Linked DNA regions of Drosophila melanogaster. The protein of the gene in region 2 purifies or fractionates together with the protein of the main gene of each other region. This does not show direct contact. Each region holds a gene or a part of one and is shown on either strand. Other genes may lie near its edges.

Region 1 (16,004 bases), on a different chromosome or scaffold from region 2:
TGGGCGGGGGGAGTATCTGTGAGCAGTTGTATCAGGTTAGATGGTTAGTTTGGATCTGATGGGATGGGTTGGGTTGGGATTTCGAGTGGTTGGTAGGTAGGTGCGTGTAAAGTGTTGGCTAGTGGAGAACCCATACGTACTTAGATCCCTGATCACTCTACTCACTCTCGCTGCACACGGATTCAAATAAAAGATTGTCTTGGCAAGTGTTAGGATATCGAAAGTATATATTGCAGAAAGGCATTTGAAACATTTCACTTGATTGGATTGGTTCTTATAGCTTGTTGAATAGTGTTAGCTTTGTTAAAACTAAGTGTGAGTCATTTGTACGTGGCTTTTCGCTTCTTTTTACTTTCTTTCTCATATGAGTCCCTTTTGTGGTTTCAAATGCAATGTAAAAGAAGGAGTAGAGACGAAAAACAAAATGTATTAAGCAGTTGATTGATAGTTACATAGTATCATTGGTTTTCACGCTCTAAGCGCACGTGTTTACAGTTTACTATGTACGATAAGGAACAAATCAAAAGTCATGACTGTAGAGTCCAAAGAAAGAGCAAAGGAAACAAACACAAAGCTACGATTGTCGAGGGTTTCAAGTTTCGGATTCCGGCCAGGACTCTTACCTCTCTTTCTTGTGCTTCTTCGACTTCTTCTTCTTCTTGCGCTCAGGACTGGCCGAACTGAAATCCAAATCCGAAAGTAAATCCACCAGTACAGTACAAGTCGCTACCATCTACCCACCTCTCTCTGGCGCGCTTCTTGCGCTTCTTCTTGTCCGTCTTGGAGACATGATCGCGTTCGTCGCCATTGGCTGCCGCATCGCCAGCATCGCGATCCCGTTCGCGGGAAGGAGTACGCACTAGGGCATACCGCTTCCCGGTCTCCTTGTCCTTGCCGGCTGCTGCGGCAGCTGCCGCCGCTGCCAGGCTCTCGCGCTGGGCGTCCAGTTCCTTTTGGAGAGCCACGCTTTTGGCCAGGTCCTCCTTCGCCTTGCGATCACCGTCGAAGCTGCTGCCCTCGACAAAGTACTCGGATATGTTGAAGGCCTCGCGCAGCCTGGCGTTCTTCTGCTGTTGAGCCTCGGCTATTTGATGGGTGTCGCGAGCACTGGAAGAGAAAGTTGTGCGTTTAGTTAATGAAGTACTAAGAAAAAGTATGTGCCTCAATCATAAAATCTAAAATGTATGTATTTTCTGGTTCCCCCCTTCATTAAGTGGCTACCTTGTGGCCACAGCACTGCCGGCTCCCAGCAGTGTCCCCAGCAGACTGCTCGAGGAGTACTTGAGCAGCTCGAGCAGGACGCTGCCATCGATATTGATTTTCATCTGTGACGAAGGCAGCTCCTTCTGGATGGAGTGCTCAGCTGTTCGGTGGGCCGGCTCAAGTGCCGGCTCCGGGTCCTTCTGTTGGCAGGCGCAAGCGCAGTCCGGGTGAGTCCTCTTGGAGACTGCTGGTCGCCTGGTCTTGTTGGCGCCGCTTGCCAACGCCGGCCGCAAGGGCTTAAACTTTCTGGCCACCGCCGCGTAGTTCCACGTGTGGGCGGTCAAACGGAAGCTCTCGTACTTGGCCAGGTACTCGCGGTTGTCGTGCTGGAAGTAGGGAGCCTTGGTCTTCCTGGCCCCATTTGAGGTGGCAGACGGAGCAGAGGAGGCGGGCTCCCCGGTTTGGGTGCGGGGACTGCTGGTTTTGCTACCGGGAGTGCTAATGGCGGCGCTCTTTTCGGTGGTGGTGGTGGTGATTGCGTGACCTGCGCGTTTGCGTCGCTTGCGTCGTTTCTTCGGTTTCGCCACCTTCACCGTGGTGGCTTCCGTCGTTGTTGTCATCGTTGATGCAGTGGCCGCCGAGGCAGTCGCTGTGGTTCTTACTGCAGCCGTTGCCGTGGATGTGGTGGTGTTGCTATAGATCTCCGAGGAGAGCATTTTTGCCTTTAAGGATAAGTATTTCACTTATGATATCTTTGGATCTGCTTTTATACAAGATTATTCGTATTTAACGTAAAGTTTTAATCCATGTGTGTGGAAGACAGTGGATATTAGGCTTTAGTTTTTTTTATTCCGCGGGTATTTTAACTTTAATTTGTATTTATTCTGAAAAGACGTTACTTCAACTTCATATATCCATGTTATTGGAAGACGATGGATTTTAATTATACTTGTTTTCGGATTTTTGATTCGCGTTTGTTTTATATATATATATTTTTTTATGTTGTATATAATATATGTTTAAATCCATGTAATTGGAAGACAATGGATTCGCAGAATGTTTATGCTTTATATAAATACAAAAATAGTTTTCCTTTACAATATACTTTGCTATAATTTCATCGGTTACGATTGGAAGACGATGGATTAGCATATATTTGGTTTTACTTTCGGCTACATTTCGTAGAGCCCGTGATGTTTTAATAAATCCTTATTCATCTGGAAGACGTTGGATAGTTTTATAGAAATATTGGATTATATTTGCTATGGTTATTTAATTTACTCCGCTGAAGCAACTACGCGCACTTGTCTTCTTCACTTCGCGACTTATACTAATTAATTACTGACTATGTTTGGAAGACTTATTTAGTGATTTGTTGCATTCATTCGGCTTATGTATTGAGCATTACTCCTACTGGCCCTGCTACCTCATTTAAGGGGCTCCACTCTTAGCACTTGCAACAACCACTACAATAATCCGCAGCTCGAAAGCGGCTGGCAATGCTGAGTTAGGGGTGAACCAAGAGCTATGCGACACCACCACCACCGGCGCTGGGTTTTCATTTATCGGGTGCGTATGCAGAGCTACTCCTCCTCGGGCACACTTGAAGGGCTTTTGCTGGCTGGGTGCCAAGCCCTCCCTCCAGGTCATTGGGATCTCGTGTTTTATTTTAATTTTTTTTCTTTTGATTGCTAGGCTTATGGATGCATTTGCTGCTGAGCTCCTGACGGGGCGGATATCGATTTTTCCAGCGATTTTCCAGCGCTTATCGTGCCTTTTTTACCAGGTCCCCTGAGACGGCTCCTCTGCGCCACCTCCATCGCCAGCTCCTCGCCAAGGGCACTTAGTGGGTCGTTTTAGCAGGCGGTTATTGCTTTTAATTTGTGTGTAAATATATCTGGCTGCTACGCGGCGTTTCCTGAGCGCTTTGGCCAACTTGCTGTGGCTTTGGAAGACTTGAAGTGACTGAAAGCCGTGCGCATCCCGGAAAATCTTTGCAGCAGCTTTTTCTCTACCATGCGACGCCTGTGATTGGCCCCCGAATGAATGAAAGAAGGGGTGGCGAGTTGGGCGCTGCGGCGGCGCATGTCTTTTCTTGGATGTGGTTTACAGCTGTCGTGCGCTGGCCGAGATTTGAGCAGGCCTTCGGTTTGTTTAAGAGCTTATTGATTTGTCCACTGGGCGCACGTTTTGCTTTAAATTACATAAGCTATTAAAAGCGTGGTACTTACGCTACGCGTCCGAATTCATCTTTGGCCAGATCTGTTTTGCCCTGTCCCATCAACTTCTGGCGGAAGGAGTCCACCTGCGACTTAATTTCCTCCGGGGTGCGTCTGTAATAATTCAATTTTAATGGATAAGATAATTAGCGTGGCTCTATATCTAAAGTTCGTAATTCTACCTTTAAGACTAGCTTGATTAGCTCAAAAAAGGCTTAAATATGGATGATGTTTCACCTATCTAGATTGTTAAATTAGCTAAGGAGTGCTTAGATTTCAGTCCGCTTGCCCGGACATGCGGATGTCTTTCACTCAAAATAATCTCTACAACTGAAATGCACTTTTTTCACCACCAGCCGAGTTCGTGCCACCGGAAGAGTGCTCACATGTGACGCACCGAGCGGGTGGAGGAAGCCCTGCCCGCGTAGGGGTGGCTCGCCAACGGGCTGGGGGTAGTTCAGTGCTCAGTTCGGCGCGTGTGCGTCCGCTCTCTGGCGTGCAGGAGCAGCTACCAGGCGCCAATGTAAACATAAACAGCGAAGGAAGCAACAGCCCCAGGCCGGCGTTATATAACCCGGATTGACATTACATACTGGCATGTAATTGCCCATGTCCCCTGCTCACCCCTGCTTCTCGAGAATGTCCTCCAATTCCAGGCACTTGACTTCGATCTTGCGCTTGCGGTCGTGGTCCAGGATCTCCTTGTTCGGCGGCCGGTTCAGCTGGGCGTCCAGCTTCTTCGTGTCGTCCTCGGCGCGGTAGTCCTTGTCCTTCTTCCCGGGCCGCACACATGCCCAATTCCGCTGCACGTGCCCATTGGTGCCGGAGCCACGGGGCGTGGTCAGGCCAATGCCGTTGTACATGCTGGTCTGCGATGTCCTGCAAATTCCTCTTAACTATCAACGACTCCCGGCGGCCACTGGGTGCTCCACCAACGCTGCAATTGCACCACACGAAAAATCGATTTCAGTTGCAGTGCAAGTGGTGTTCGACTTGTCTGGCTTTCTCACCTCTGTTATATGTCCTGCGGCGCTGCTATCCAAGCGCTGGCTTTACTAGGCTGCCTAACTTTTCAGTAGTTTATTCCTTTTTGTCAAAATATTCGACTAGATATGCGACAATATGCCGCCCTCAGTGTGACCAGATGACAAATGTCGCCTAAATGCTCCCTAGCTGTCAATTCCACAATGAAGCTAACATGAGTGGATCCTGTTCAAAGCAACGAAGTGGATGTTATCAGTGAAGTGAAAATCGGCGAAACGGGCACACTAATAGCTAAACGTAAACAACAATATTACACTTATTTTATCTTAAGAAATATATAGATTTATTAGTCTAAAATCATGAGCGATGCAGAGGAAACAAAAGCAGAAGCCACCACCAAAGTGTTGTTCAAAAAAGCCGGTCGAAAAAACCTAAGGCAACGCAAGAATTCAGACGAAGAAGAAAAGGAGGAACAGTAAGCCGTCAACAATTAGAAATGAATTAAACTAAAGTGTTCATTTCTATACAGATTAACGCTAGATGAGATTAAAGAACGCCAGCGCCTCAGGCAGCGACCCAATGGCGTCAGCCTTGTGGGACTGGCGCTGGGCAAGAAGATCGCGCCAGAAGAGGAGCTGGCCATCAAGGATCCCTTTAATGTGAAGACCGGTGGTCTGGTCAACATGAAGCAGCTGAAATCGGGCAAGATGAAGGAGGCGGACGACGCCTACGACGTGGGCATTGGCACGCAGTTCTCGGCGGAGACGAATAAGCGGGATGAGGACGAGGAGATGATGAAGTACATCGAGCAGGAGCTGCAGAAGCGCAAGGGAGGCGGCACGGAGGACGCAGCAGAGGACGACGGTGATGTAAACAAGTACCTGACCCCCGAGGATGCCGCCCTGTACGCCCTGCCCGACCACCTGAGGCAGTCTTCCTCGCACAGATCGGAGGAGATGTTGTCCAACCAGATGCTCAATGGCATTCCTGAAGTGGACCTGGGCATTGTGGCCAAGATCCGCAACATAGAGGCCACCGAGGAAGCCAAGCAGAAGCTGCTGCAGGACGCCAAGAACAAGAAGGACGGACCCTCGCAATTCGTGCCCACCAACATGGCGGTGAACTTCATGCAACACAATCGATGTGAGTTCCCAAGTGTGAAACGTTTCCGCGGATACTAAACCTTTGTTACTTCCAGTCAACATCGAGGACAACAGCGATCAAAGGAGGCGCAAGCGTGAGGAAAGGGAGGGCAACAAATCCGCACAGCATCAGACGAATCCCAATGGAGTCAAGCGAGCCACAGATGACTACCATTATGATAAGTTTAGGAAGCAGTTCCGCAGATACTAAAGATACGAGTGCCAGCAATAAAATGTACAATTGTTTAGGTTCAGGATTCTGTTTTATTTCTATATATATTTCAATTAAATGTACTTTAAGAATTAACTCATTAATCCATTAATCGGGCCACTTCTGTAAAAATAAAAGCAAACACTTGGTTAGTTATGCTTCACAACGATGAACATATTTGCTTTTATGCTTGCAATCAGTGAGAGACAAAATTAATTTCAAAGCAACGAATGACTGAGGCTCAATGAGATTCCTACTCAAAATATCATCACAATAAAGAAGTTGTCAGTAACTAAAACAGATACACACCTTATAAGAAGTTAGTCCAGAGAATCGGGAAACAATGGCGCAACTGAAATGAATTAAAAAAGAATTGTTAAATAAAGCGCTTTAAGAGAAGCCATTGTTGTTTGAAATGATTTGATCAGTGGGAGATTAAAATTGATTTCATAGCTACAGGTAGCTCAATGAGATTCCTACTCGAAATATCATCAGAGCAGATTACAATTCAAACTACTCCATCCGAAATATACACACCTTGAAGAATTTCATATCCAAGGATCCAGATACGAGCCAGATTGAAAACTGAAACGAAATAAAGTCTTGATTAGCTTGGTTTGGTTGAGTTCAGCTTCCTTGAGCATAATGCTATCAGTGGAGATAAAATTGATTTCATGGTTATTTCAATGAGATTCCTACTCGTAATATCATCAGCTAAGTGTTATACATTAAAATTACAAAATAAAACTTTAATTACCTCTTCGTTTAGCAAGTTAAGCTTCCCATTTAAAGACAGCCTGCGATAGAAGGTAGTATTAGCAAATTGAAAGATTGCTTGTTATTAAAAACTCACCAATTTAGAGCGCTAAAACCTGAAGTATCCAATCTGAAAGAGAAAACTGAAAGAAACTCAGAACCCATTGAGCCCACATTGAAAACCCACACTTAGTTTTTGAGTGGTTTTATTAAACCCAGACAACTTTGAAACGTTCATCCTCGCTCTACCGTGTCAGCTTAGCATTACTTTGTTTATAGAAAAGAATCTACATATAAAATGTAGAACGCGATGCCCATTCCACACGTTACCGCAGATTGCAGCGCTTATATGATGCCGATCTTGTTGGCAATGTCCAGGGCGTCGTAGTCGCGCGCCAGGCGCACATAGGCCTTCTTCTGGCCATCGGGCCGGATGAGCACGTTCACCTTGGCCACCTTGATGTCGTAGAGCTTGCGCACTGCGGCACGCACGTGGTTCTTGTTGGCGCGCAGGTGTGTGAGGAAGACCAGGGTGTTGTTGTCCTCGATCTTCTTCATGGCCGCCTCGGTGGTCAGTGGGTACTTGATGATGTTGTACGCGTCCATGCGGTTCCTGGTGGGCACCGATTTCCTGGGGTACTTGGGACTCCTGGGCAGCTTCAGGGTGGTTGGCCGACGGAAGTGCACGTTGGTGCGGATCTTGCGGGCACGGGTGCCGAAGGCGCCCTTGATGATCTGTTCGAAAAGAGCAACAAAGAACGAGGTTAGTCCGAGTCGATCTCCTCAATATTAAGCAGCTGATGCACACCTTCTTCTGGACCTTCTTGGCGTTCAGCAGAGCCACAGCCTTGGCCTTGGCGGTTCCCTTGGCGGGCTTGGTCACGGGCTTCACGCCCTTCTTGGCCTTGGCGGCCGCGCGAGCCTTGGCAGAGAGCTTGGCCAGCACGGACTGGGGCTTCTTGCCGGCGAGGACCTTCTTCTTGGCATCCTTGCTCTTGGCCTTGGCGGCCGCGGTCGTCTTTACGGCCGCGGGCTTCTTGGCAGCAGCACCGGCGGTCGCTGGCTTCTTGGCGGCCGGAGCAGCCTTCTTAGCCGCTGGGGCAGCAGCCTTCTTGGGCGCAGCGGCAGCTGGCTTGGCAGCCGAGGGAGCAGCCTCCTTCTTGCCGGCAGCGGGAGCCGCAGCAGTCTTCTTCTGCTCTGGCTTCTTGTCGCCAGGCTTGGCTGTAAACAGAAGAGCGCGGAGTCCACGGATTAGTAAACATGTTCGGCTCTCGACGCACAAAGTTAGGTTAGGCCTGATCGATCAGCAAGGCAATGGGACGCTTTCCGACTCATCCAGCTCCATTCGAATAAATTCAACTTTGGATTGCTCACTCGGTTGCTATACTATCCCATTCTGAACACACACTTGGACATTCCCACGCAGACACACCGCACGTGGCCGAAACTACGGATTATCTGTTCGAACACATTTATGCCTTAAAATCACAATATTTCGCACAAATTCGATTGCCTTCTGGTGGGCTGAGCTGTCGTCTCCCTTTTGCTGATCGATTCACGCATTTTTCGCATATTTTTGAATGAAAAATCCTTACCGGATTTCTCGGTTGGCTTTTTGGGTGGCATTTCTACGAGAAAAAGAAATGAAAAGGAAAACTGAGGGGCAGTTGTCAAAAGGCGGAAGCCCGTTTTGACAGGAGGGTGGCCAGATAGCTGGAATTTGGCACGCATTCAGTGCGTTTGGCAACACTGCTGCGGCACTTATTAGCCGTGTCTGGCTTGCTATCTTGACACTGTGCGCGTGCAACACAGCCGCAAAAATGAGTGGCAACGCTAACGGTGTTTAAAATGTAACGGTACTTGTTGAATTCGAATTTAAAGCGAAAGAAGTAACCAAATTGTTTAAAACTGTTTTATTCAATGTCTTACGTTAAGCTAAAAATACAAGTTGTGCAATCTGCAGGCTAGCAAGTACAGCCACTTTTCTGTTGCGAGAGGCGGCTTCCAAAGAAGTTGCGTAAATCTAAATAAGAATAAATATAAGCTGATAGGATAAGAATTTTCGAATAGCGGCTTACCAAAAGTTTGCGATTTAACAGATGCCTGAGTGGCCTGTTCCTGAGGCTTATTCTTAATAGACCTAATTTCCTGCATTACAGCCTCTTCAAAGGCCAGGGCAGCGATCCTTTGGAATAATTCCGTAACTTTGAAGCCAGATCGCGCCGAAACGGACCAATATTCCGCCTGAAGCTCGGCGGCTGCCAACCCTGCCAGTCGTTCCATGCGTACAAACTCCTCCTTCGACTGAAAAGTAAGTGCTATTACTTGAATCTTTTGTTGGAAAGGTGGTTTACCAAGAGGTCTGCTTTTGTGCCCACCAGGAAAACCAAGGGTCTCTTGCTTGCATTGTAGTTGAGTGCGCTATTTAGCCATTTTTTTGCCGACTCCAGCGAATCCTTCTTCGACATGTCGTAGGTGACCACAATCACTTTGGTTATGGATTTGTATTGTTAAAACTCTCTCCTAATGATTTAATTAGTTGGTACTTACCACTCGCATTGCGATAATAGGCTCCGGCGATGCACCTGAAGCGCTCCTGACCAGCAGTGTCCCACCTGCAAGTAGAGCACATTTCAAAACCAAACTGATAGCGCCTTCTAGGCAGTTGACCCACATTTCCAGACTGTAGTTGTGACCCAGAATGCTGAAGTTCTCCAGCTCAAAGTCCACGCCAATGGTGGCCTTGTAGTTCGACTGAAATTTGTCGTAGCAAAATCTGCGGATGATTGTGTAAGTTAATTAATTTAGTAATGCCTATATGCCATGCCATGCTCACCGATTGACGATGGCCGTCTTGCCCACGGAGCAGTCGCCCACGAAGATGACCTTGCAGGGTCGAAACTTGGGCTTGCGAGGCGCCTCTAGGTAGTAGCGCACCTGCGCCCCAAAGTCCCGCTCCTTGCTCAGCGGAGTCTGTGCGGCACTGTAGGCGGGTGGCAGGTGCCGCAGGTGGGTGCGAGGATCGTGCAGGACCACCGTGGGCGGTTGGGGTAACAGCAGGTTCTGCCGCAGTCGATGGGGCATGGCGGACGTCTCTATTCCAACTAACTAAGCAGCTCAAATTGGGGAAGCCAGCCACGTCGTCGGCGTCATCGCCTCCGCCGCAAACCACAAACTTGGTCGGCTTGAACTTGGTGGCTATCACATGCCCAAGGTGCCGAAAGCTACCTTACACCCCCTGCTTTGCATTGCAAATGCAGGTGCTCGATAAGAGCAGCTCGGGTGTGGGTTAGTTCCGATAGGGAGAAGGCCTTAAGAGCTGAGCTTTAATATTGGGCTGCCATTGTATCCATATCATTAAACCTTCAAGCCCGAAAGGAAAACGCTTTGGATTGGTATTTGGTGGCTTTATTTGTGTCAATCATAACACTCATACAATGGCTTATGGTTATAATATCTTGATTAATCTAATCAAGCCCTTGTTTGCTTCGTCCCACCTGGATAGCCAAAGTAGCCGACGCTCTTCACCTGCTTGCGGAGATCGGGTTGCATGGAGAGGGCCTTGAAGATGGCTCTCTTCAGCTGCTTGTACTGAAAGTGCGGCGGGAATGGCATGTCCTCGAAGGACAACATCAACAGGTTGCCCGCCTCGTTTCCCACGGCCAGCGAACGGCCGCAGTGGGTGAATCTGGAAGGCGAGGAGATGCGATAGGATCATTCAAGGAGAAGACTCTGAACTCACTTGAAGGTGGTGTAGAAGATGTCGGCGTCTATCACCGTGGAGGACACCGGCTTCATGGTGCTATTGCGCAGGTCCCAGATGTCCACGGTGCTGCGACTGAGCGAGACCAGGATGGTGGAGTGAGTGCGGCTCCAGCGGGCGCAGTGCACCGGGGACAGGTGATGCTGAAGGGTCACGATGGGCAACAGGATTCCAGCCAGCCAGATACGAATGCACCTGATGGGGACGCATGAGTGAGGATAGAGAAACCCGGAACAAAATCGCAGTTGATCTCACCAGTCGCTGCCGCAAGTGAGGTACATCCTTGGTGACCAGGGCGAGAACTCCATGCAGGCGGCGGGTCCATCGTGCACCTGCCTTAGTTCCAAGTGCTGCAGCGGGTAGTTCGTGGAGCACTTGTACAGGGTACCCTCGTCGGTCAGCACGTAGTATATGTCCGACTGGACAGGATCGAGCACAATCTCCAGACACTGCGGATGCCTGTTGGCCAGGAGGGAAGCCGCCGGAGGCTGTCGCTCGATGGGAATCCCCTCTAGCTCGCCCTCCGCCCGCTGCAAACGCTGCTGCTCGAGTCCCAGCATATTGGGACTATTGATCAGCCGGTACTTGGTCACCGCCCCAGCCTGCGAAGTGGCCAAGAAGGGCGTGATGTGCGGGTTCCTGCACCCAACATCGCCCTCGAAGTAGATCCATTTAATGGCCGTTACTGGCTCGAAGTATGGCGAGGACAAACGCTGCGATACAGCTAGTGGTGGCAGATCCTGTCCAGAAATATCCCTAACCTCCACACCTCCGTTGTGCAGTCCAATGGCCAGCAGTTGCGGTTGGGTGGGTGAAAACTCCACGGTGACCACAGGCACTTGGTAGTGGTAGCGTCGTTCCGGATTCACAGGGTTCTTGATGTTCCACACGTAGACCCAGCCGGATCTGGGTAACTTGCTGACCTTGCCGTGGCTGTACACCCCGTAGGCCACCGCCATGATGTCCCCATTGCTGGGACAGAAGCTCATGTCGCTCACCGCTTGATGAACCTTGGGATCCGACGAGGGGGGGCTCAGTCGCCACAGCAGGCCCAGTCGGTACTTGAACTTGACGTCCTCGGCCAAGGGATCTGGAGGAGCCATGTTCCTGTACCTCCGTTGCTGCGGCTCGAAGACATTGCTGGCCAAGATGCGCATGGTCAGCATGAGGGCCAGTCGAAAGCCGGGCAGGCAGTTGATCCCCACGAACTGATCCACCCCGCCCACGTGGTAGGTGGTTATCTCCATCTTCTTCGCGCCCTGCACCTGGACACTCGTGGTGGACTTCTCCAGGTCGGTGTACGTGTCGTACATCTCGAAGTTGGACACATAGGAACCCATCTGGGCGGTGGTCAGCCGCTCGGTGTTCACCAGCCTGGACTTCATCAGCGCCGTCATGGTTTGGGTGTCCGCATCGACGGTTCTCCGCGTTTTGTCCGTTCCCGAGAGCAGTTCGTCGTACTTCCGGTTGTCCTCCATCACCTGGCGACCCTCCTCCGTGTCCGCCAAGGCGGTCATGCTGCGCCGTTCGAATAGCACCACGATGGGAGTCTTTCGGAGCAGCACCTTGATGAAGGGCGTGGCTGGAGGACGGGCGGAGTGGGCGGAGCGGGCGGAGGAAGCAGGCTCCTTCAGATAATTCGGTTCCTCCAGAGTGGGCGACATGGGCGTGTCCAGCTGCAGCTTGTAAAGATTGATCTGGCGAATAAACATACTGTATGGCTTGATTTCTTTGGACATTAAGGATGATAGGCACTCACCCCCAAGGCAATGTCATCCAAGGAAGCTCTCATCACGCACTTCGTTCGGTACTCCGGCGTACGGAGCTTATGGAGTTGCTGCTGCTCCGCTCCGGGCTCCTTCATCAGCGGATGGTCCCTAATCATCCTGCTCAGTTGCTCGAAGTCCGCGGTGCGGTAATCCTTCCTCAAAGGTCGCGACATCCTTCTCAATTAATTTGAATGAGCGCGTGCCGCCGATTTCCCAACTTGTTTACTGCGTGTGCAGACATGGCAACGCAACAATGGTGGATACAATATATGGGTGCCATAACTACCAAGTGCTGTAGTTGCACTCCGATTGCAACACGGAATTCCATTAGCAGGCTCACACATGACTGCACTCATTGCGTCCATAAATATTTATAACTCACATTTAAATCGCGCAACAAAAGTGCATAATAAGTGGGTTGGTAAGCAAAAACGTATATTTAAATATGAATGTAGTTCCAGTTGTGCAATGAAGATGAAGCCACCATAGTCTAACATCAATTTGGATCATTACCTTTAGTGATTCCAATAATTTGCGCGGCTTTCTGACCTGTCACAAGAAAAATCCCCCAACCGGAGAAAAGCAAAACAAACTATAAACTACAAAATACAAACTACAAACTACCAACAAATGAAATTCGTATTCATATTCCAATTAGACAGTAGAAGAATAGCAGACGGAAAATAGTTAGATGGTATATGGTAAAAAGGTCTTTAATTCCGCCACATAGCCGCATAGGAAATGGGCAAAAGATGGGATGAGGAGGAGCACTTGGCCATGTGGGCGATTGAGAGCAGCAAGCCGTGCAGCACACTGAACGAAAATAAGATCGGGTTAAGAATGAAATATGATTAGGTTAAGTGCTCACAGCAAAGAAATGTATCTACAGAGAAATTATTTCAACATGAATCCCAAACTATAAATATGACAATCTTAATTTGAAGATAGCTTGTAATAATCAAAGCGATTTTCCGTGTATAGAAGATATGGAAGTCGAAAAGAAGTTGTTTATGTTAATTTGGCTTTATGCTTCGCTACGCTGATTCGCTTGATGAACATATAGCAAAAAAGAGGGCTGATTATGAGGACGACGACGACGACGACGACGATGACGATGATGATGAGGGGGCCCAAACCGAGCGAATATGGCCAAGTGCACTATGTCAAACGGAGGGGCACACGGCAAGCGGGCAACTGATGGCCAAGAAGAACAAACCATCAAACCGTCAACGCATCAAAGCGTTAAGTAATAAATGTGCAGGCAGCCAGCGAAAAGAAAGAGTTAAGAGCAAAAAAAAAAAAACAAATCCAAGCGGGCTATAAACAATAGTCGCCTGTCTTGCAGGTTGCGTGCATTTTGAACTCTGCACGAGCCAACGATCGTTGTTGTTGGCCGATTTGGCCAGACTCTTGTTGTTGCTGTTACACATTTTGGGGGCAGCAACAACCACCTACAGTCAGCGAAATTCAGTGAACCGCCACCAACGCGACGCCAACTGCGACGCCGGCGGCGACTGCGCAGTCAGCGCCACACTGAATTACATCTTTGAGGTGTTGAAAAATATTAATAATATTTTAAAATTACACTTTAAGTTTAAGACTCAGTTCTGTGATAGCTTTTTAATGGACTAACCCAGCTTGTAAGCAAGCTGATACCACTGATGTAACTACCTTTTAACTCCAGCCAGTTGTTAGCCATGTTTGTCCAGTGTTTGTGAGATAATTAATAATTTTGTCGCCAGCCCGCAAGAAACGAGTCTGCGGAGTGGACCCTGTTTTGAAAAGTGAAATAAAACGCCACTTTTTACGAACATCTAATTGTGTCCGCACCCTGGAAACCCATAAAACGCGCCATCTCCATCTCGATCCAGCCCATGGGCTGGCTATTAGCCATATGTCGCTCGCATTCAGATCGTCTGGGCTTCTTACACCTGTTTTATGTCCCCACTGGCCCCAATGTGCGACGACTGCCCCTTTCGGAGCGTCGACTGCGCCGCCCGGCGTTTCGGTGTAACACATTTTCAGTTCGTTTCCATTGTGGCAGGGAGCGCGGAAGACCAGCGAGCCAGCGAGCCAGCGCGCCAGACGAGAAGAGCTGGCGGCAGAGCGAGCTCAAGTCGAGCTCGGAGGTTTTTTTTCGAGGCAGCGGAGCGACTTTTTATTCGTTAATTAACCGTCGAGCGGGCCAGAAGTCCGAGTTGCTCGGCTTAACGGAAGTGCTGAAATCGGGCGGCTAATTGAGCACACCTCGCCTCCAGTTGACACCTGAGACACCTGAGGGAAAAAACGAATTGAAACCACTCCACATAGCTCGGGTCATAACTTTCCTCGCTGGCCGGCTGCTAATGTCTCAATTTGTTGTGCGCGTTGGGCAAGTGCAGTTGCCATTCAGCCGTGGCTGTATCTGAAAGATACAATTCGGGAGAGCTCGGTTCCTGAGTGATTCGAAGTTTATGCTAATCAGCTGTGTTGCTCCGCGAGAGGGATCATTTCGCCATAGACCCACACCCGCATAGCCAGTGATCACATAACGAAATAACGAAACCAATCAGCAGACGATCTTATCAGCGCCAAAAGAGGAGGAACACAATGTTGTTTTGGAAGAGGCGTCTTCAGCGATCGAGCAGCTCTTCGAGTAAGTCCCCGTTTCTATATGGCCAAGTTTGTGGGAATGGTGGTAATGGGGGACGGGGGACGGGACCACGCCTCCAACGATTGGGCAACAAGAAATATGATTTCGCCGGGCAGGTGAATTTCGATTTTCGGTCCAGTGACAAGCTCGAATATTTTGGCCTCGACTCATCTGCATAATTTGCATCTTAAGCATTATTTCTGGCTGTGCCCAGCGACTGGTTTATTGATTTTATTTCAGTGCTTCCCTGGCCAAGATCGTAAATTCACCCCGCTGGGCTTCATCACCCACAAAAGACTTGGACAAATACAAATGGGAGCGCGAGCCACGCGGGACATGAATAATAGCTCATATCTGGCCATCGAAATTCTCGCCGAGGTGTTCCCTTTGTGGATGACGATTGCCCAGAGATTTATGAATGGATTTAATGTGTTTAGCATAATTATGCAGATCGCCGTGTAGAAGATAATATCTCACTAGGTTTGGTTTCAAGCGTAAACACTTGGGATGGAAGTGGAAAGATTTGACACATTCACGATCAGTCGGATAAAGATTTGATGGTCTTAAGGGGCTTGGGAAGAATGGGTTTACTAACCAATATGATTATAGTGTGGTCAACACATTGTACCCTAATCCCCCACTTGAATCCCTCTCCTTCCTTTGAAAACCCATGGCCCGCAGTCAGGTGTCATAACAGATTTGTCCCGATGGCCAACAAGGTGGCCAACTGCTATCGAGCATCGCATTGAAAACTGTCCCTTTTCCCCACATTCCTGTGGTTACTCTTCGTCTTCTCCCATCCCATCCCATCTGCTCCATAACTTTCCAACCAAGTGCCGACTATGTGTCTCATTCGCTGTATCTCAGTTCTGAGCTCTCGGGGTTTATTTGGGATCAAAAACATGACTTTGACTTGTGGTAATGTGATGTTAATGACAATCATCAGCAGCGACACAAGCAATAACAACGCAGGCAGAACGAGGAGGAGCAGGAGTAGGAGTAGGTGACATCCACACCACCGCCACATGAAAGCAGTAGTCCCAGTAGTGGGTAGCCCCGCCTCCTGAGCCGCGGAGCACGCCTAACACGATTCCGGAGATCGGACATCTCTGCCAGCGACATTTATTTTATGTGCGTTCCGTTCCCGAAAGTCGTGGCCCATAATCGGCTTACCCAGAGTTCTTGGCTCTACCATACCGCAGTTGACACTTCTGGCTATTTGGTTCGCTTAGTTCGTGCCCGGAGTCTTCTGTTTTTATAGAAGCTGCCCATCAAGTTGCAGGTTTAATGGTCGCTTGTGGCCCAGTGCCGCATCGAAAAATGAG
Region 2 (14,938 bases):
GATTTTATTCGCGCTGACCGGCAACAGTTGCAGATCATGTTGCACTTATTGTTGCAGTTGCAGATTTGACATCCGCGAGAGATGCGGGAGTTGGGGGCACGCGGAGCAGGAGCGGACTCCACAATTCATCTGTCAACCAAATCAATTTTGTGGCTTCAGCCATTTATCTTTGTTAGCGCTCAATTGACGCAGCCGCTGCCACAGATACAGATACAAATACGGATGCAGATACAGATACAGATACTGGTTCTCATTCCGATTCTGGATCGGTTAGCTACAGCCATTTGGGTCGACGCGACTAAATGAAGCTGCCAAGCGGCTGGCTGATTGGAAATTAATTGGGTTGTGCAGCTTTTGTTATATTTTGGCCCAGAATACGATATAACATATTGATGCGAAGTTATGGAAATGAGTTGCACAAGTATCGAGTTCAATTTAGTGTGAATTGCTGCAGGCCCACATCAATATAATGCGCTGGTTCATTGGGTATTCATACTCTTAAGTGGACAACGGTTCAGTAGTCCAAGGATAACCTTTTCATGTACATGCAAATGGCTCCATAACTGAGTTGAGCTAAGTTATTATTGTTTTTAAAGTACATTACACATTCAAAGAATTCTTGAAATTCGAACACTCTACATGTACATGAATCGCAGAATACGATATAACATATTGATGCGAAGTTATGGAAATGAGTTGCACAAGTATCGAGTTCAATTTAGTGTGAATTGCTGCAGGCCCACATCAATATAATAAGCTGGTGAAAGCCAATCACTACTCGCGATATTCGGTGATATGACACTTTCCCATAGTGGCACATTTGCATACTGGCTATAAATATTTTACAAATACAAGTTGACCCATTTCAGAAAATCCAAATGGAACTAAGGTTCGGTGTCACCATCCTCTGGGTGAATCTTCTTCTCAGCTGAGACCCACTCAGCCGTGCTGAAGAGCTCCTTTCTCTTTCCCAGTTGGTCCATTGTCCACGTAATCAGCTCAAGAGCGATTATCTTGTGCGGCACCATCAGCATCTCCAGCTGGGCAAATAACCCACTCCTCGGAGATCGGAACTCAGTCTGTTTGCCAATAGAGAGGCCGCTGTAGCCGGCTGAAAACTGCAATTCATCAACTCAAATCAGAGGAGGCAGGGGCCGCTGATCCACACGTCCCAAGTCTCCTGGCGGCAGTTTGCCCACCCACAGTGGCCACAAGTCAACGAGGTGATTTGCATGCAGTCATGGGTTTCGGTTTGGTTTTGCTCTTGCTCTTGCTTTTGGCCAGGCTCTCAATGGGGAGCCGGATTAGACGCGACACTGATTGGGCCCGTGACCAGAGTTGTCGCCGTGACGAGTGCAACAGTTCGAGTTGTTCAATGTAACTGGCTTAAATCTTATGGAGGATCAGGTGTCTACTTATTAGTTTATTTGCATCCAATTCCTCTACATAAACTATGTCCAATTGAAGTTTTATTTGGATGCGAGTGCAGCATCTGATTTCTGAAACTTCTTAAACTAGAAAGTCTCGTAAGTAAACTCGGTCAGGCGGCGCGGGGAGCACTTTACTCCAGTTCTCCCCCCGATCCCAATGGCAATCCCCATCCATTCCCAGCCCGTTTCCATTTCGGGACCCATCCGCATGCGTTACGCAAATTGAATTCGTTGGCTGAAAATTTATGCAACGTCGCGTCGGCCAAGAGAAAAGCAACAAGAACAATCGGGGGATATATGTTTGGGGGGGGGGGGGGGCATTGGGGGCAGGGCATATCGGGGACCTTCGGCGACTGCTGGTGTGTGTATTTGGACAATGTACTTGGACGCAGTCCGATATCGACAGAGTTGCAGCAGCAACTGCGGCTGCAACTGCATGTAAAACTGGCAACTGGAAGCTTCGGCCGGCGAGCGACTGAGAAATTTATGCTTTGTTTTGCCTTGGCGATACATGGAACATCAATTCTCGTTAACTTTTCATGCACGACTGGGCGATGGAACATGAAATGGATATGGATATGGACTCTCGACTCCCGATTTTCGATTCTCGATTCTTTGCGGAACCACTCGACCCAGCCGAGAAGAAATGCGCAGAACAATCAAACAGAGAGTTTTTCGAATCCAACGCCATGAGTGGATATTTAAATTAATAGAATCGAAGTCTGAATGGCTGGGTTTACACTCAAAACGAATTGAATACAAATATTTGCATATGTACATAGTATATATCAAATATATCCAACAAAATATAATCTGCAAAGTGCGATTCTTCGATTCTTACCTGCAATATCTAATCTGCTTAGCACAATTGATTTATGGTTTCTTTAATTAAGCTGTGAACAGAGAACAATAGAAATGATTTACATATCTGCAGCTGGCCAGAAAAAAATTGCAAAACATGCATCAATTTGCGTTGCATGTTTTGCTGAGCACTTAATTAAACTCATTTCTAGATTTCACAGCAGCTGTGTTCGATTTAACCGCAACACATTCGATTCGATTGTGCGAATTTATCAATTGTTCCTCCTGGATTTGGCCCAGACCTTCCGCCCAATTGAGCATCAAACACGACCGACTTGCTGGGAACATAAACCGCAAATTCGTTTTATTAACTCACCCACGTTTTTTTTTTTTTTTTTGTTTCGCTATGCATGAAACGAGCAACTTGGCTGGGTGGGTGTAACCGAGTGGGTGGCTCTGGGTCACCCACCTAAAATGGGCGGGTATGCAAAGCAGGCAAGGAGAGCGGGATGACCTTCGTGACAAAGAGCACGGCGACAAGTCACAACAATTGCCTGGGCCATTCAATAAAAATGCAAATTAACTTATCAATTACAACGCCCAAACAACAATAAACTGCACGGCCATTCGAGGGATTGGCCTACTACTAGCCACGTGCTACAAGGACCTCTGGCTGTAAGCAAAAAAAAAAAAAAAAAAAAAATAAAGAAGAAAAGAGGGAAAGAGGGAAATTTTTGCCGAGTCTGGTCCAATCTTGTGGCCACTTCTCCGGCCGGAGTTCCTTTGCTCTCGAAACGGTTTTCTTATGCAAATTGCCAGCTCTAAAATATTCCGGGCTCATAATTTTTATTTCCGTTATTCGAGTTTCAAGATTGTACTACATACTTGTTGGCGCATCCCCCACTGCTTTTCCCGGCTGGCTCTTCGAGAGCTTTTCCTGCGCCTTTTGGGAAATTTGCCTTGCTAATATGGCCGAAAAGCGGCACAGTGTCTGCCAGGTTGTCTGCCGACTGCTCTCTTCCTTTTCCTTCCCGGCCAATTCCTGGCGCAATCATCCCCCTCCTCCGAGCGGCGAAATTGGTGGCACAGTGGGTGGGTGGGTCCGAAGATATCGTGGACATAAATGACATAAGTTACGACTGACAGATCAGATAACATCTTAATTTAGGGAGTGGGCGAGAGCAGAGTTCAGTTGTAGCTGGGGGCCGCTTTCAAGTTAAGTGATTGTAATGGCCCACACAAGGCACGGAAAATCTCAAGCAGGATCGAAGGGCTTCCTACTCCGCAAGAGAGGCTTTTCCAAAGCAGATGGAAAACTTTAAACGACTACAATTGTTGTAGAAACTTCAAAATTGCATTTCGTTTTACTTAGTTGATATTACAATGTATAACAATTTGAAACGAGCTACCTTTCTATGGATTATTGCATTATTTTTTCGAGTGCCAAAACCTTTTTTAACTGCAATCCCAACACCTCAGCGCAATCGGCTCAAATGGAATGTTGCTGGCCTGGTCGAGATTTGCTCGTCACTTCTCGAAAGCCTCCCACAGAATTTTCACACAGTAGACCGCTCCTGGCATCACCGCGTCCTCCTCTAGTTTCTCAGAGCCCTGTAATTTTACGGTCAGGTCCAGAATTGAAGCATCACAAAATCAGAGGTGGCCGCTGAAAAATGCAGGCCGGCACGGAAGTGGTCAGCAGGCGGAGCCCCAATGATTCTGATGAGTGGTTTGGGCTTCGGCTTGGACTTTGGGTTTTGGTATGGGGCCTGGTCTGGTCATGCAAGGCGCATTTTCGCACTCACACTGCTCTCCGTTGCTTTTCCAGCAAGTCAGACAAATTATGGCCACGATTTGACTTGGGCTCTTCGAGGAAAAGCAGCTCCTACTGCTGGTCAGGCGATAAGCATTTGCGTGATTAATGAAATGTGTGCCCGTTCCCCTTCCCTTGCTCCAAACGCAAAAGAGTTGCGAAAGGCCTTTCCATAAATAAACAATTAGGTCTCGCCACCCGCAACCGACTTTCCATTCTGCAACTTCAAACTCCGACAATCCTGACTTACTGGCTCACAATGGGCGGGCTTTCCCGCTTTTCCCGCCTTCTTGCCGCTAATTGACTCGCACTCGCCCAATTAGAACTCGTAAGCGGGCACGCTTTGCCCATTTGAATTTATATTGGAAATTAATTTAATTAATAGAGCGCCTGGAACGGGAAAGGAATCGGATGTAGTGTGGGTGTGGAGTCACCTACCAGGTGTTGTATCCAGTTCCCAGTTTCCCTGGGCTATCGCAGCGGGAAGTGTCAAACAGTCAACTCAATAACTGTTTATTTTGGCTGGCACATTGCCAATTTTGGCCTGGCTGAGTCAGTTGGTAATCGTTTCGCCTTATTTTTTTGGCCAACTAGAGCACTCGTATATTGTGGCTGGTAGATTGGCAACTCTTTTCTGCTGGGCCATGCATTTGCATTTTCTATCTCAATTGGCGGTTTGCATTTCATTAGCCTGAGCAGTTTCGTTAAGCTTGCCAATTTATGGCAATAAAGGTGTTAAGAGCTTGGTAAGATCTATTCGAATGGTATTTTATTGGTATTGGTTTGGGACCACCCATGGGACCCATTAATTCAGCCACAAATAAACATTTTCCTAGGCAGAAAACGGATTCTAGATGCAAAAATATCGAAAAATATTAATAACCCATATATTAATCTGTTAGTTTACATATGTATCATAGATCATTTTAATTGGCACGCAAATTCCCGGTATAAATCAGACCATTTTAAAAGCATTTTCCGCCCCTTCACTCTACATGACTGCCGTCTGGACTCCTCGCAAGATCGTGCTGCCTGCCTGCCCACCTGATGTCGAAGTGATCGATGTCCCTGGACAGCCGTTGCCATCCATAACGAGGCAAACTCCCAGGCCAAAGACGCCTCCGCACTGCCAATCCCATTTTCCGCTTTCCATCCGCCCATTTGCTACCGTTTAGCCAGATTGATTTCGGGCCAGAAGCCGCACGACTCCGCCGATCATTCCTCCCACTTTTCGCAGGGGGCGGAGGGCCGTCACGCCCACCGTTGCAGTTTTCCCATCGCCCAATCGCCAATGCCGGGCCCATCAATCAACTTCGAGTGCTCGCAGTGAGCGGGAGGTACTCCACTTGCTTCTACCTGCCTCCGAATCTCTGCATCTCCGAATCCGCGAGGAGGACGCGGCAAGAGGCTGCGCCTGGGAGCGCTTTTGGTTGTAAAAATCGTTTCGGCATCATTTTTCATATCCGCAACCGAAACAAAACCGCCAAAAAAAAAAAGAACCAAAACTACCAGAAAACAATATCCAGTCGGCGGCTGGGAAATCGAGTAGCATCCTAACTGCAGGAGCTTCATGCGGCGTTGGAAAAACAGTGGTACGTACCCGAAATACCCTAGGGTTGACTTCTCCAATCTCTATTGCGAGTATGGAAAGGTCATATAAATGTACCAAAGTCGCCCTAAATCTCACTCTTTTGGTTTCTTCTTTTATTATAAACAATTTAGGATGATCCAAAGTCCATTTGAATAGTAATACCCTCTGTTAGGGTATGAGAAGGTGGATAGATGGGCTTGGGTTATGTTTCGGTGGCCAGGGGTGCGTATACGTGATCGCTGCATTTCTTTGGACGTTCCGCGACGCTTTGTTTGCGCTGCCATCGACACCCCTGTCCCGCCCCTCCTGCCATCCTTTTTAAGCCTTGTTTGCTCTTGGCAGTGGCAAGCGAAAGAGACGGCTGCAACGAGACAGAAAGAGACAGCACGAGGGAGAAGGTTTCGATGTAGCGCGAATTTGTTGCAATTTCTCATTGTCAGCGAACGCGTTCGCCGGTAAGTTTTGATTAAACGCTCCGCGGGAATTCACTTTGGCTTGCACTTTTTGCTTTTGTTTTTATTTTTTATTTTTCCTGCCGATAGGAGGTGGCATCTCCCATCCACAATCCCAAATCCCAGTTGGTGGCCAACTCTTTCATTTGAATTTGATAAATGGCGCTCGTTGCAAAGCGATATGTTATGCAATTTAGGGATTTCCTTGTGGCTTAAAAAATATTGAAGCGATAGCTAAATGTTTGTACAACTCGGAAATAAATGAACTGGCCGACAAAGAGAGTGGAAGGTGATGACACTTTAAACAGGCTTTCGGAATTCAATTTGCCTAGCATTGGGAAAAGTTGAGCTATCTCTGTGGATTCATGTGGATTCCACTTTGGTAACTTATCTCGAACCTGTGTGCGCAAGTTTAAATCGATTTCGATCCACCACAATACCCTATAATAAAAGAGCTTAAAAGGGAGCTGGTATAATATGAAAACTACAAATTACTGAGGCCGAACTGGAGGCGAGACGACAAACAAGGCCAAATTGATCCCCGGCTGACAAGCGGTAATAATAATTTCGTGCCAATTAATCAGCGTTAAATCAGAGCGTCAACATCCCAACCTGCTCCACACTCATTTCTCGTGATTTCACTTAAAGATTTCCTGTTTTTTTTTCACAAACATGCCGCCCAAGATAATCGAATAATTGGCATTCGCATTCTACGTAAGCACAGTCGATTGTGAGCAAGGTCACACGGATCGCAAATGCAGTTACTTTCTGATTGTTGCTACACTTGGCCACTCTAATTCTTTTCCTGCCAAACTTCAACGGAGGAAGTCACGTGGTGTTTCTAAACCTATTTTTGATACTAATTTCTTTGGAGTAAGTTAATTGTTTCAAAATTTTAGGCGTGTGCTCATGTTTTGCCATATAGGAATGAGTTCCCAGACGCAGAAAAAGAATGCTTCCAAGGCCAAATCGAAGGCGGGCCCACAGCCGTCGAAGAAAGCCCCGGCTAAGGTGACTCCTGTAGAAACCGCCACCCCATCTGCGGCTCCGCCTTTGTCCTCTAAAAAGGTGGCCAAAGCTCCGGCCGTGGCACTAAAGAATCTCGATTTGGCCATGAAAGAATCGGCTAAGAAGGCCGCCGAAGCTGCTGACCAGAAGTTGGTCTCGAAGGCGAAGAAAGGCCAGAATGCTTCACGCAAGAACTTGATGCAAGTGCCGGAACCCGTTGCCCCTGAGGTGGACAATAAGAAAAAGTCTGCGCCTCCTAAACGTGGCAATGCGGAAATACCCACGGTTGTCCCCGCCAAAAAGGCCGCCCTGGTGCAAGAAAAGCCCAAGGAACAAGCTGCCGCAGCACCAAAAGCCGAAAATGTCGAGGTTCCAGCAGCCAAAGCTAAAAGTGTAAAAAAGAGCCTCGCCACTCCGGCAAATCCGAAGCCCAAGCCGAAACGCACGAAGAATGTTCTGCGTGGAAAAAGGCTGGCCAAAAAGAAGGCTTGGCAACGCTTTGTGATCGACTGCGCATGCGTGGCCGAGGATATGATCCTGGACCTCGCCGACTTCGAGCAGTATTTGAAGACCCACATCAAGATAAAGAACAAGCTCAACCAGCTGAAGGATCAGGTCACTTTCGAGCGCACCAAGAACTTCTCGCTGATCATCCACTCCGGTGTGCACTTCTCCAAGCGCTACTTCAAGTATCTGACCAAACGGTATTTGAAGAAGGTCAGCCTGCGTGATTGGTTGCGGGTAGTGTCCACGGCCAAGGACACCTTCGCCATGACCTACTTTAAGATTCAGGACAAGGACTTTGATGACGACGACGACGACGTTGCCGACGACAATGGCGGAAAAACCTTTGCCTAAAACAAAGATCGCATTTCGAAAACATGTATATCCCATGAAAGCTGTTCAAGTGTGTAGACTTCTTAAATTTCTCAGTATACTTCTGTTAAATTTCCCACTTGAAGTTTCACTAGTTCTCAATGTGGCTCATACAATTTTTGCTCATTTGCTTCAACATATTCAACGATGAAATATCAATAAAAAAAAAAAAAACCCTAACAAGAGTATATCATATATGTATGTATTCTCATCCGAAGCTGCAGAGTTCCCTTGAAGAACTTAAAGATTTCATTTTACGGTCAGTTAGGAGGAAGGAGCGGAGCGTTCCTCGGTCGAATCGACTTAAACTTGAACGATTGACATCTCGGAGAGGGCCTCGAGTGGCATTCGTCATGTTTTGATTGGGAGGAGCCAGTCTTGTTTTCCTTACCTTTTTACGCTTTTGTAAATACCTTAAATTGCCCCATTGGACGGGATTGTGTTCGATGCCAGGCGGCTTAATTGCTTCGCTGTGGGTCTGCCAAATGGACGAAACCATGGGTGGGGATCAGAGGGTGCTCCTCTGTCAGCAGTTGGCCCGGCCTGGCCGTAGGTGGTCCATAACGAGCTAATGAAATGCGAATCCAGCCAAAATGCGAACAGCGAGGCAGCCCAGTGGAGTGAGTCAGGCAGGCAGCTGTCAAAATCGAAATCAACCTGAGCACTCGCAGGTTGGCTTCTTTTCGACTTGGCCAAAAGAACACAAAGGCTGGGCAAAATATTCACGATTGCCGCCTGGAAGGGAATACAAAGCGAAAATAAACATAAACGTCATGCAAATCGTATGGTAATTGCTGTCATCGCCGACTCTTGTCAAAACGGGTTGAAGTGTTTTGTAAATGCCAGAAAAAATTAAATTCCAGACATGCAGACGAGTACCAATAATAATAATAATAATGTAATAAGGGGCTTGCGATGGGGGGGAAGTCAAGAGTGATCCACACGCGATTATTATTTTGTCAAATGGGAAAACGATATCGGGCCAAAGCAGAGAGAGAACAGCCTCTGTCAAAAGCCAATTGGCCATTGGTAATTGGAATAGGCCTGACATCCAATGGTGATTAAAGTTAATTGAACTAACACCCATAGTTGATAGATGATGGCGTTCTTTGTCAAACCGAATATACCAACGTAAAAAATACTTTAGCATGTGTTAATTAGCATTAACGCTATTTTATTTAATTAATAGTGCACATTTGTATGATGTATTTCACTCCCTTGAAGAGCCACTTTTTGCAGCAAATAGAGCTGGCATTAAAACAAGTATTAATTTTGAACCCTGTGTCAGGGCCTTATTAATTTGAAAGCAAATCCCTTGTGACATGGAATATGAACCGTGCAATCAAGTTGGCTTTTAATTGTGCGTCAAACATTCAGATCCAGAATCTTGGTAATAGGCTCAAATCCACTCCGATTCTAGGTAGGTTGATCCCTGTTCCTGCTTAGGCTAATTAACACATCGATTACATCGTTGCGCGGACAGTGTGTGTCTTTAAATTGATAGGCTCGTTAAAGTGTCTACCATTCCGAGGCCTTCTGGTCTTGACTTCGCCAACTGGTTGGATCTATTTTTAGGGCCAGCAGGTGCAGCTGCCTCGGAAACTGCGCAGAGACGCGTTTCTCGGCCAGTGCCAACCAGTTGGCGAGACCCCATCATCATCATCGCCATCGCCATCTGAAGATCGCCATCCAGCGTAGGTGACGGACAGCCTCGGGCTGCCAATATCACTTACTTTCAGACAATGGATAGCCACACAGGCGTTGACGATTTGTTGGCCTTAATCTACTTGAGCAAATATTAGTTTTGAAAGGTCTTTGTACCCAGCTCAAGTTTATTTTCTACTTCCCAAGCCCTTTTAAAGTTTTAAAGAATCTTTGCAGCTCATTTAACTGGCACTTTTCTGCTCGAACGCTTTTGGGAGTCTATTTGAAAATGATGGAAGGTGAAAGGTGAGTTTGTGACTGAAATCATATATACTTTTACTTACTAGCTATTGATTCCCACAGTTCCAAGTCGATTCAAGGCAACATCGTGGGTCTTAAGAGTACCAACGCCGTGATACTGGCCACCGACTCGAAGGAATACGAAATGTATCTAATAGATGACCGCATTTAGTAAGTCTATTCAATTTGCAATGCCTTAAAATAACTTATTAATTATTCAGCTGCTGCGCACCTCGTTCCGGCATCGATCGGAACATAGTTCTGGAAGTGAGTTCAAAGGTGGCAAATCTAGTCCGGGATCGCGGCCAGAATGTGACCGTGTCCCAGGTGCGGGACATGTTTTGCGAAAAGTACCAGACCGCCGAATCCCCAAATGTCATGATAGCTGGCCAGGACAGCAGGGGCCTTCACTTATTCAGCATGGAGTGTGGAAAGTCACGCATGGTGATGTATGGTGCAAAGGGCAGAGATAAGGAGAACATTGTGGACTTTCTCTCGAAAGACTGGAATGATTTCATAAACCTCAGCGAGGCTGAACAGTTGGCCAGGAAAGCGCTTAGGTGGGAGCACGTGGAAATGTGCACCATCTATAGGGCTAAAGAAATCGAGGAACAAGGTGCCAACATGGACTTCGATATGGACGACGAGACCTCTGTATCGCCGGCCAGCAATTTCTAGATCCTCCTACTATCTACATGTACATAGTAGTTAATTGTATCATTTCGATTTATGTTCATATAAATGAATGGTGGCTGCTCCACTGCCCCCCCCCCCCCTGTAATTAGCCACATTTCTCAGCGTTTTGCAAGTTGGCCTAAAATAGATTAGCCGCTCCTCCCACTGGAAATGGTGCAGCGCCAGCACAAGTGATTTATACTCCTCCGACCTGGCCCTTGGATAATTAATAATGATTAAAAGCTGGCGCCCATCAGCGGGCTGGCAGCTCAGAGTCCTTGTACCCGCTATGGGTATGGATATATAGCTCTATATAGATCCCCACTAACCAGATCCGCTCGTCTGCCTCCGGGGATCTGGGGACTGAGGCGATGTCCAGCTGTGCGGATTAACTTGAATTTATATGTTGTGGCTGCATTTGAATAATTTCATATTCGAGCTGGCAATCGGGATCTCTATCTTTCTCCTCCTCGCCACGCCCCCTTCCTTTGCGTCCATCTCCCCTGTGCGTGACCAGGCTCCATTTTCCCCTACTCCTGCGTCCACTTGTGTGGTCTTCCTCCATTGACAGCTCTTGGGTGGCATTATGCTGTCTGCTCCGGATTTTCACTTTTATGGCCTGCAAACCGGCAGTTGCTAATTGATTTCCACGTAGATTGGACTCGTAGTTAATCGGCTGCTCTTCGGTTTAAACGGAGCTCAAAGGGATATGATATGAGATACTTATACTTTCAGATTAGTATCTTCGTAACTTTCGTTCCATTCCCTTTCCATTTAGCTCGCTTATCTTAATCAAAGCCTTATCACCCTGTGCATTATTTTGGCACATTCAAATTGAAACCCCTTTTTCGGTTGATAAGCAAATATTTCGCCAACACTTCAATCCACTTCCCGCATTTATTAACTTCATTTTCGGTTGTGCTTTTGCCCGAATTCGAAAGTGTCTGTCGAAAATAAAATGTCATTGGCCAAGCGATAAGAAACGAGAGGAACAAGCCGAAAAATCAAACATCAAATATTCCCAATAAATTAAATGCGGCCAGTTCCAAGAAGGACCCATCCTCACTTGTTGGTTTTTTTTTTCAACTGGCATTCAATAATAATTCACTTTCGATGCGGCCAAAAGTTGCGAGGAAGCTGGCCCTGGGGATTCGGGGTGCCTCTGAATGCGGAATCGAGTGGTGCTACCTTGTGATATCTTTATTTACCTCAGTCCAGTCAAAAAAAAAAAAAAGGGCTGAAAAAACACAGAGGTGCAGAAAATGCAGGCAGTGTCACCTTTCGGCGGCTCGAAGTGGAAATATATTTATGTGGCATGCGAGTTGCAAGGTGTGACAACATGGAAATTTATCTGCACCATCTCTGCAGCACCTTTATCTCCTGACCCCCACCTCCACCACATACCCATCTCGACGCCTCCTCCCGCAATCCGCGTTCCGAGCTCCGGGTGGATTTATATGGGATCCGAGTCGGGATTGCCATCTTAATGCGACATTAAGTCGGCGGAATCTGGGTGTTTGGCCCGGGCAAATATGAGGTGCATTATGTACACACAAGGGATTATCTATGGGTACACATGTTGCACGTGCACCATGGAGCAATGGAATTATCCATTTGGGTGCTTCAAATGGGGCTGAATGCACAAGTACGCACAACAAAAAACATATTAAGTTGCCGCACTGATTAATAAAAAAGTTTCAATCATGCCATTTAATTATATTCGCTGATGGCCATAAAAAAAAAAACTTTGCAAGTTCAACGTTTTTTTTCCCAAAACACTTTCTTGTCAACTGTCTCTGCATAATTGTGCCTTTTTTGCAGCGCCGCTGTTGCATTGGCAACTTTAACGAAATTGGACATGCAACATAAAGTAATTTATTTTTAATTAATTTATAAATGCAGCCACATCAAAAATGGCCAGCGTTGCAAACAGGCGGCGAGGCTAGAGGATCGCGAATTAAGCCCCGAGTCGTAAATAATTTTTATATCTCGCATTCCTTTATAGATTTTAATTTTTTTGCGCGTTTAATTTCAGCTTTATTTTGTTTCATTTTATTTTATTTTTATACGCGCCTCTGCCGCATGCAACAAGCGGCACGAAGTGAGTGTCGCTGACAGCACGTCATCAGCACATTGGGCGCAGGGGGCAGCGGGCTCCGATTGGCCACGCCCACTTATATCGGTGGGCGTGTGCGATGGCAGCAATTTCATTAAAATTTACTGCACACTGCAGCGGCGAAAAAATTGTTGCGGTCAATTAACGTCAGCAACGCGTTGCCATCGCTGCGGCATAAGCCCTACAAACACGCCTCACTCCCCCCACGCTTTTCCACCCCATTTTCCGCCCCTTTTGCTCGGAGTTTCACCACCACCACCCCCCCCCTTGCTCATTAACGGCCGTCGATTTTATTCACATTTCGCATCTGCATGCGCATACGCAACTTTTTGTTTATTATTGCTTGGCGTGAATAAATAAATAAGTTCCATTGACATATGCTCAAATAAATAATAGAGCGCGCTTAAATTATAGCCTGCTGGCTGGTCAGGATGCTCTCCTCCCGTTGGCAAGGAGCACTGGAGGAATCTCCGATGCGGCTGTGAGTTATGATCCTGGCGGCGGCGAGACCGCAGTTCCCGCAGAGTCCCATAACAATGAGCGGTGAAGCCTGGCCTGGAGTCATCGAGACGATGGCGATCGTTTTTAATTTCGCCGGCAACAACGGCGCAGAAAATGACAATGGCACAGACTTGTGAGAACCGAATGAGTAATTGGCGACGATTACATTTAAAGAGTAGGTTATGCTCGCAGCTTTAAACACCACATTAATCTAAAGAAAAAATATATAAATTAAGGTCATTTCGGACTATAAGTAAGTAGCCATGATATGGCCATGACTTCTACACTACACTTCTGGCCAACTTCGCGCGAACCCAATCAAATGCACTTGGCCTAGAGAGAAAGAAGCCCGTCCAATTAATTGATAAACTTTCCCACTAAACTAATTTGATGTTTACGCAGACTCAATCAGCGCCGCAAAGCAGAACAAGTGAAAAGAATTTAATTAAGCTGCAGAAGCCGGCCAAAATGTTTCACAAAATCGAATCTTTTTTCTTGGGGGGGTGTGTTAAATGGGAGCTTCGTACAGAGATACCATGCGATGCGTGTGTCGGAGCCCCCGGGAAGTTGACCCCAATAGGGATCTCGGTTCAAGTTCCCCGCCCTGCGATGGAGGCAACTTATTAGGCCTGCTTGCCGGTGGGCGTGGCACAATAACACAGACCCTCTGCTCTCGAGAGGAAATTGCAGATGACTCGCCCGGACAGCCGAACCGCAAATTAGTTTCGCTGCGGAGCAACTGGGATGCTCCTCGGGATCTGGCTACCAATGTCAGTCGAGTCCGAGCCTGAATAAATATGAAAATATTGTCCAAGTAACCAGTTTACCAGCGACCAGGGCCCGCGGCGTCTTTCCTGGAAACAGAAAGAGCAACCGGAATAACAATAACAACAATCACCCCCATGACAGGCGGTTCTGAAAAAGGGACCGGCTCACTGAGAGAAAATTGTGGCTAAAAGGGGGGAGCAATGCATTAAGTAGGGTCATCTCATTAAAGCGTAGCATATAACTACAAATGCTCATAATGTTGTGTATTCTAAAGATGTGGAATTTCCAAGTGAGTTGATATTTTCTCTCAGTGCAAGGGTCCAGAGCCAGCTTCTTCCCTTTGGAAACTCACTCCAGAAAATTGACGCGAGCCGCGCTCCAAAATCGCTCCAAACGTTGTCATCGTTGTCGGGTTGTTGGGTCGGTTGTTCCATCTGCATCTGCATCTCCATCTCGGCATCGCGCGTCCTCCATATGGGCGCACTTGGAGATGCCGGAGATGAGATAAGCTTCCATACTCCATACTCCACACTCCAGACTCCACACTCCAAACTGCATGCTCCTGCCCGCTGCTTTTTGTTCATAAATTATAATTTTATGATCACGAACATATTCGTGGAACACTCGTTGTTTGCCTCATTGTCGCCAGCTCCCAGGGGCGTTAAATATTAAAGTGTCTGGAGATCTGGTGTACTGGAGGCTTGGTGGACTCGCAGTCTGGATTGGCACTTGGAAATTGGCTCTGTTCTGTGGCCTTTGGTCCGTGGAGAGTGTCATCGTTTGTGTTTACACTAATTGAAGAACTCTTCGGCTGGGGCCCTTCAATGTCACGGATGCTCCCAGTTTTCAGATCTCTCCCTTTTTCGCTGGATCGTTAACTTGCTTTATGGCCCTCGTTCGGTTTCTGGCCTGAAATTAGTTTGTTTTAGCTTAGCCGCCTTTGAAACGGGGTGGTGGTAATGA

What was found.
Region 1: the proteins of RpL22-like (region 2) and RpL23A purify together in Drosophila melanogaster (affinity purification with western blotting, with the first as the bait; one study listed by BioGRID). This does not show direct contact.

The regions. Positions count from the first base shown.
Region 1 is NT_037436.4:1,660,486-1,676,489, forward strand, and holds RpL23A (ribosomal protein L23A), read right to left. Parts: upstream 8,170-16,004; 5' UTR 8,142-8,169; coding exon 8,111-8,141; intron 7,737-8,110; coding exon 7,324-7,736; intron 7,251-7,323; coding exon 6,861-7,250; 3' UTR 6,613-6,860; intron 6,557-6,612; 3' UTR 6,517-6,556; intron 6,480-6,516; exon of another isoform or gene 6,407-6,479; intron 6,345-6,406; 3' UTR 6,297-6,344; intron 6,261-6,296; exon of another isoform or gene 6,180-6,260; intron 6,112-6,179; 3' UTR 6,069-6,111; exon of another isoform or gene 5,883-6,068; 3' UTR 5,803-5,882; downstream 1-5,802. Other genes in the region: Srrm234 (Serine-arginine repetitive matrix 2/3/4), read right to left, coding at 624-680, 742-1,107, 1,222-1,896, 3,435-3,536, 4,047-4,285; CG7974 (uncharacterized protein), read left to right, coding at 4,766-4,881, 4,936-5,549, 5,605-5,759; RabX5, read right to left, coding at 8,480-8,538, 8,594-8,819, 8,870-9,003, 9,066-9,130, 9,190-9,291, 9,352-9,599; CG13930 (uncharacterized protein), read right to left, coding at 9,987-10,203, 10,258-10,473, 10,534-11,975, 12,038-12,220; CG7991 (uncharacterized protein), read left to right, coding at 14,637-14,682.
Region 2 is NT_033778.4:23,239,800-23,254,737, reverse strand, and holds RpL22-like (ribosomal protein L22-like), read left to right. Parts: upstream 1-6,844; 5' UTR 6,845-6,960; intron 6,961-7,012; 5' UTR 7,013-7,014; coding exon 7,015-7,953; 3' UTR 7,954-8,128; downstream 8,129-14,938. Other genes in the region: yip3 (yippee interacting protein 3), read left to right, coding at 9,905-9,921, 9,979-10,086, 10,137-10,593.